Coturnix japonica: one gene and its partner. The protein of the gene in region 2 purifies or fractionates together with the protein of the main gene of each other region. This does not show direct contact. Links are inferred from orthologs where the notes say so. Each region holds a gene or a part of one and is shown on either strand. Other genes may lie near its edges.

The links. The genes of interacting proteins can lie anywhere in the genome.
Region 1: the proteins of FKBP5 (region 2) and PRKAA1 purify together in Homo sapiens (affinity purification with mass spectrometry; 3 studies listed by BioGRID and IntAct, with this or other methods). This does not show direct contact. The link is inferred for Coturnix japonica from reciprocal best matches to the Homo sapiens genes FKBP5 and PRKAA1.

Annotation. Positions count from the first base shown.
Region 1 is NC_029547.1:11,799,247-11,802,897, forward strand, and holds part of PRKAA1 (5'-AMP-activated protein kinase catalytic subunit alpha-1), read right to left. Parts: intron 2,839-3,651; coding exon 2,594-2,838; 3' UTR 1-2,593. UniProt on the Homo sapiens protein: Catalytic subunit of AMP-activated protein kinase (AMPK), an energy sensor protein kinase that plays a key role in regulating cellular energy metabolism.
Region 2 is NC_029541.1:464,110-467,860, reverse strand, and holds the start of FKBP5 (peptidyl-prolyl cis-trans isomerase FKBP5), read left to right. Parts: upstream 1-1,613; 5' UTR 1,614-1,674; coding exon 1,675-1,719; intron 1,720-3,379; exon of another isoform or gene 3,380-3,557; intron 3,558-3,751. UniProt on the Homo sapiens protein: Immunophilin protein with PPIase and co-chaperone activities. Component of unligated steroid receptors heterocomplexes through interaction with heat-shock protein 90 (HSP90).

The DNA.
Region 1 (3,651 bases), on a different chromosome or scaffold from region 2:
TTTTTAATTCAATACCTACTGAGCTCAGAGATAACTGGGTTTATCTGTGCTTCCATAAAGCAAGAACACAGGAAAAATAATTCAGCACACTCCAACTGAATGTGCTTGGATTGCAGAGTAACATACTTGACCAATTCACGTATTCACATCAATTACATCCTCACACTCCTGCTGTTTTCCTCAGTGAGGTTCAGTCTCACAGCCTGACGGGATGCAAAAGAAGATCTCCAAGCTCAGTAGGAACATCTGAAGAAAGCAGCTCCAGAATAAAGATCTACAAAGCGTAAGAAAGTGACACAACAGACAACTGCACCGGATTCAAAATAGGATGTCAGTCCCCTTCCCCACTCCCCAAACCTGTATTATAAAATCCCCTCGGTTCTATCACAAAACTTTTGGCCATCAAAACTGTTGCATCGTGCCAACAAAATTCAGACAAGAGAACAAAGTAAAATCCGCGGCTGCCATAATGCACAGAAGGGCCAAAAGAAGTGTATGTAATTAAGAGCTGCTCGCACCTTTTCACCAGGAGCAGATACCATTAGTAAATATTTAGTTAAACATATGCAAGAGGCAGTTTTAGTGATCCCAAACAAACTCCAGATAAGGAATTACTGCAATAAAAAAATCTGTGCGTTTGTTACATTTGTACAAGTGCAATATTTAGGTTTCAAAATAAAAGGATAACAAAATGAGCACACCTATTTATTCAGAACATCAGAACCTTTCCTTACATGACTGAAGAAAGGACTTAAAAGTATGATTGATAGCTGGTCCCACATACTGTCATCTCAGTCTCAATAGTTCAAACACAATAGTTTTTCCCTAGGAGAACCCTTCCACTCTGAGCTACATATATGCTATTCAAAATATAACCTTGCACTACAGGGACCGTGCGAGACACTACTTGAGGACAAGAAACTGAAGCTGTACCTACATACAAGACAGGACACACAATTGCCCAGTTGAGAAGAGCTACAGCACTTCTGAGGCTTAAGCATATCTAAATTTCTTCAAATTTGTAACAGAGGAATTTCTGGACTGAAGCCAACTGGACTGCATTACACTGTTCTTGTCATCTGAGGTTAGCAGCGTGTCAGGGATGGGATCTTAGACTCATCACTGGCTAGAAGTCCCATCCATCCTAACAAAGTCCAGGTTACACTGTTTATATTAATGCCTTGATTTCCAGTTTCTAAATGGGAGAGCAATCTTTTAAAGCCATGTAGTCTATCTCAAAAAGAAAAATCCCCTAATAAGAAATTAAAATGGTTTATGGCAATTTACTGATTAGCATTTACATCCATCAGTGCTAGATGAAAATGGAACTGTGGGTACGTACATCCAACTTACAAGATATTTAGCATTTTTCAGCAAATATATCTGATTCAGCATTTAAGGTCATCTTCTTAAAACATTTCTTCTGCAGTTACAACTACTGTTATCTGTGACTGCAATCTACATTTCAAAACCTCCTAACCATTAACACTTTAGTTGTCATATTCAGCTTTAAACATTCAATGGAAAAACAGCACTATTAATTTCCACAATTTAAGTAGTAAAATTTGTTTGAGGGTAGTCCGGAAAAACTAAGCCTATCGATAAGTTTCAACTGCAATGTGAATTCTACATAGCATATAGTAAGTTAACATGTGATGTAAGCAAACATATCTAAGTATTAACTTTTTTTTTTCTTTAAAGCGTGTCAATTTCAGATTGCAGAATAACATGCAACAACCCCTAGGCTGTGCTCTTAACTACATGCATTTACTTCTAAGGATTCTCAGCCTGCCAGTAGCTGTGCTGCTACTACACTATGGTACGAGCTAGCAAACCTGCACAGATCAGGAGCTTGCTCACAGTGCTTTAGAGCAGTGATCTGTTTCAGGCCATTGCATGGCGTGTCTTCTCAGCATTGTCTCTCTTGGCACTGCTGTGGCTTCAACTGTTCTACTTAATCCCCAGAGAACTGTACTCGTAACTGTGCTGCAGAGCACTTACACGTACTGAAAATTCCAATTGGTTGGATTTGCCAACATTTACTCAAGTGCATCAACTATTGAATGGCATATTACAGCACATCAGACTTTGTTTAAAAATCTCATTTACTGCTGAATAAAGGGGGAAGGAACAGCAGTTTTAACACTTTACTGTTAGGAGACATTAACTGTTCTGATCAACTGAGGCACAAACGTAGACAGTGACCAACAAGTCATACTTAGGTCAATGAACTTGTAAGCGCACATTTTCTTACAGTGCTCCAGAGGTATGCATCACCAACAAGAAGGACAAAAAGGACCATGTAATGTAAATGTTATATAAATACTAACGTGCACTCAATGAAAATGTTACAAGCACTGCCAAGGGGCATGTGACTTCCTGTACCTGTATTAAGCTACTGGATAGCAGAAAATCAAAATTCACTCCAGCTTCAAAGCAATATACCTAATTCATAATGATTTAAATCCCCAGGTAAATTGCATTTTGCAGCTAGTTTTTTCAGCGCCTTAATTTAAATTGATTACAACTGGAAGCATCTGACTACAATTTATGCATGCTTATTGCTGTAAAAGAAATAAGCCCACCTTCAAAGTTATTGTGCAAGTATTTTAATAAGATTTGCACACATCTCAAAAAATTCTATTGTATGACTGCCAGGTCTTGGAGTTAAGTCAGCTGTCGAAGAATCAAGTGAAGAGGTCATTGATGAGGTAAGCGACGTATCTGCAGATTTTCCTTGTGCATCACCATCTGAGTCTTTCTGACATGATCTGTAGTTGCTCACAGAACCTGATCTCTGTGGAGTTGCAGTCCCAGACTTTGTTTCAATAATTTCATCTGAAAAGGCCAGTAGAGAGTAAAAAATTAGTCATTCACATCAAACTAGCCAGAAGATCAGCAAAATATTTTTCCCCTCAGACTTAATCTTGTTTTTAAAATCCTTGTTAACATTTAAACAGCTCTTGTGAAGTATATATAGTTAATACAAAACAAAAGCTTATAGAAGTAGTAACAGAAGCAGTCATCCTTATGCAAATTGGTACAGTGCTATGAACTGTGCTTCAGGACAATATGATCAACATTAGACGAGCAGCCATCATTTTCCAGTCAGTAAATAATTTCAGTGGCTAACAGTTCAACTGATTTACTTCATTTATCTTTAAACTCCCATAGTTATCTGTTTAAGCTTAATAACAGTTCAAACATTTTGTACATACTTTCTCCTAGCATCTACTTTGTTTTTATTGTATTTGGTTATTTATATTTTATTTCTAATATTCTTAAGACTAATTGTGCATTGATTGCAACTATTTACAAAAGTGAAAAACAAACTGATGTGTTTCTTTTAGAATTTTATACACCTTGAACTATATCTATAGCAACTTAAGCTTACCTCCCATATTAGAAAGAAATACTTCCATCTTAGAAGCAAGGTCTGCTGAAGTATCTTTTACCTTACTTTAGAAACTGAACATTAGCTTGTTATTAGACTCACACTTGTACCTTAGAGTTATGTCCAGGAAAAATTAGTGAGTAAAGGAGGGACTGTTTTTTACATCAGTCAAATCTACTTGAAACTGCAGTCCCATAAAAGAAATACTTAATAGTTATTTGTAGCAAAAAGAAATACCAAATCAGCTTCATGACTGA
Region 2 (3,751 bases):
GCAGCACGCAGCCATGCACCCCGGAGCCAGGCCCCACCCTTCTGGGCCCCCCCTGCCCCTGTGGCCCCATTGCAGCTGCACCTCGGCCATCAGCGGGGACACGGCGTACTCACACTGCGGTTGTGCAACCCCAGCCCTTCGCCTCCATAAACACCCGGCTGCTGCAGCACAGGGCTGAGCTCACACCATGGCACAGCTCAGCCCCCAGCCTGGGCTGGGACACAAAGTGGGGAGCTCACAGGGAAGAAGGGGAGGGGTGCAAGGGGGGCACCACCCAACAAACTGCTTTGCATACCTAAAAGGGGCAAGGGGCTCAGTTTGGTGTCTCCATTGCTGCAGGAAGGACTCAGGGAGCAACGGTGTGCTGGGCTCAGAGGTGTTGCGGTTTGCAGGAGGGAGGGAGCAGGGGATGAGCTCCTCTCCCTCTCCCTCTCCCTCTCCTCTCCTTTTTCCTTCCCCTTCCCCTTTTTCCTTTTTCCTACCTTTGGGCAGAAGGCTTTGCCCTCACACTGTACATGGTGTGGGAGCACATCCCCAGGTTGTCACCCCAAGGGTACCCAGGTGTCAGCATGCCCAGCTATCACTTGGGGTGCCCAAGCTCAAGGCTTCACCCTGATCCCTGTCCCCACCAGGGACAGCCATATGCCAGAAGGATGACTGACGAGGGACAAGCAGTGCCCTGGCAGCTGTGCGGAGCCTTCAGAGATTATTCCTGGAATTTTGCTCCAGAGGAGCAGATTTCCTCCTGGGATGGGGCAGGCACTGGGGGGGAGTGGGAGGGAGCAACACACCCAGCACCAGGGCTTTGCACCCAAACCATGCAAGACTTCCCCCTGTTGCAGTGCCACGCTGCAGCACGTCCCCACTCTTCCTATGCCCACGGCTGTCTCCTGTGGGCCCCAATCCTGCCATCACCTCCCTGCGCCCCATGTCACTGCTGGGGGCTGCAGCTCCGCTCCCAGCCCAGCGCAGCGGGATCTTGCGTAACGCTGTGCTACAACACCCAGGCACTGCGGGCGGGTGAGGCGAGGACAGGGCTGCACCGTGCATTTCCTGGCATGGGGAAGTTGACGTCAGCTCGTGCTCTTCTAACATCGAATTTCCTTACAAACACCAATTGCAAAGTTGGGCTGGGGGAGGACTGAGCCCCCCCACGCCGCGCTGCTGCTACAGCCGCTGGAAGGGCTCTGGTACAGACACCCCGGTGCCCTGCTCCAATGCAAAGTCTCGTACACGTTTAGTTTTCTCTGCACGTGAACAAATGGAGCGCCGCAGTCACGCGCAGCCCAACGCAGCCCCCACAGCTGCAGCTTTGTAGGATGTTGGCTTCAGCGCGGGATCCTGCACGAGGTGCAGCTGTGTCAGTGATGCCCCACACACTCACACTCACACTCACACTCACACTCACACTCACACTCACACTCACACTCACACTCACACTCACTACCTGGTGGAGAGAAACGCAGTGATTGGAAACGTCTCGGAGCAGGAGCCGGGATCAGCGGGTCACACCGCGGGGCGGGGAAAAGCTCTGATTTGCATACCGCCTCCACTCCGGCCAATGAGAAAGCGTTGCGGGCGGTGTGGAGCAGACGGGCGGACGAAGCTACCAATGGGAGATGGGGAGAGGGGCGGGGCGAAGCGACGGGGAAACCCGGCCGGCGCGGGCGCGCGATGCCACTTCGGAGCCGAGCGGTGGCGGAGCGCGGGCGGCAGCAGGTGGGGCTGGGATGGGGGTGATGGGAGCAGCATCACGCGTGGGGCCGGGATGGGGGTGATGGGAGCAGCATCACGCGTGGGGCCGAGCCGTGTCGGTTGTGGAGTGTGGAGAGGGGGGAACGGAGCGTTACGCCCACGGAGGGGGCGAGGGAGGGACTGAGGTCCGTAGCGCTGCGCCTTTGGGTGCGCTCCGCTCGTGCCCACGGAGCAGCGCATCCCTCGCGGCAGAACCGGAGTCGGACTGAGATCGAGTTTGAGATTAGGATCGGGATTGGGGTTCGTCTGGCGACTGGGACCGGGATTAGGATTGCGATTGGGGCTGGAATCAGGATTGGGATTAGGATCGGTATTAAGATTGGGACCAGGATTACAGTTGGGATGAGGACCGAGGCCCGTCGGTACTGCAGTGTCCAAAGAGGGGATTTATTCTCAGTCAGAAAATGAGGCTGCTGCGCGGTGAGGATTTAATGAGTTTCCTAATGGCATTGACCAAAAATACCCCCGAGTGCAGGCAGCAACGTGCAGTTTTATTCAGGGCAGGTGCAGCAGCGTGGACAAAGTAAATGGGGCGTCTGGTTCAGATCCCACTGTTTCCTCTGCCTGTAGTGGTGTGGGTCTCCCAAATCATCTGGATTTTGTGTTTGTTTTTTCACCCAACCCACACCTGGCAGGATGTGCTGCTGTCACCCCAGCTGTCCCCTGGCTGTTCTGACCTATGGGAGTTACAAACTGTAAGGGGTAACCCAGGGTTGAGCCAAGTCAGTGTCCCCGTGGTGCTGTGGCAGGGGATGCCGTGTGAGTCCTGGACCCCATCGTGTGACATTACACTGCCTTGGTGGGCCAGGATGTGGGAGAAAGCAGGGAGAAAATAGAGTGGGAGTAGAAGATATGGGGTGGGAGGAGGAAATATGGGGCAGGAGGAGGAATGTAGGTTTCTGTGGAGGTGCTGGAGATAGTGATAGCTGCTGGAACCCTGGGAGGGAAAAGTGCACCCGATGGTGAGATAGTAGGGAGTGGCTCTGGATGCAGCCATGGGGTGAGCCTGGAGGTGGTGCTGGAAGAAGCCTCTGTGATGGCTGTGGTTTGGCTCCAGAGGTGGCCATGGGGCAGCCATAACAGGGCCCTGGAGGTGGCCACACATGGGACCCGGTGCTGGGGAACCCGCAGGACACGGGCTGCATGTTCCCGTGAGGTCCCCTCCCCTTGGGACGAGGAGGGACTGGGGTCAGTTCCCTGTGAGCAGGGGGAGAGCAGCACCCGAGATTTCTAGACAGCAGACCCCAAACCACCCTGCTGAGAACGCCCCTGTGCAATTAGGTGGGTTTTAATTGCAGCCAAGCAAAGGAGAAGGCTCACTAGGAAGCTTGGAGGTGCTCCACCTGGACACCCGGGCCTGCCCACCTTTGTTAGTTCCTCAAGGATAATTAGCTGCTAGATGAGCCCAGGGAGAGGCGGTCTCAAGTTTGGCCAATGCTTCCACCCCATTGTTCGGTGCTGATAAAGGCTTTGCTGAGCTCTGAGCTGTGCCACTGCTTCTCGGCTAGTCACTTTCTATGCTAGTTACCACGGGAGTCTGTGTGCTGCAAGGAGGTGGGGAGATGCATTCCAAAAGCATCCCTGGGCACCTGCATAGCGCCTTGTGTCAATCTTTAACCCCCAGCACAGGGAGAACACCGGGAAACACTGCCCAGATAGGAGCAGACCTGCTTAGGAGCTGCAGAAATTGGGGGTAAGGTGCTGCTAGTGGTGTGTTCTGCAAAGTGGGGAATCTCCGGAGCTCTGTGAAGGAGCTGCTCGCAAACAGTAGTGCTGCTTGTGGAGAATTGCCCTAATTAAAGGTATTCCCACTTCAAGGAGTTTTTAAAATTTACGTTAGTTGCTTAATTAAATCAAACTAGCCCTTGGCAGTGTTGTCTTGGTTGCCAATAACAGTGTTTCTGGCTGTCAGCGCAGTGTGCACTGTTGGTGTGTGCATCACTGGTTTGTGCATACTGGTGTGTGGTTGCACACGTGGTTGTGCACACGTGGGGTA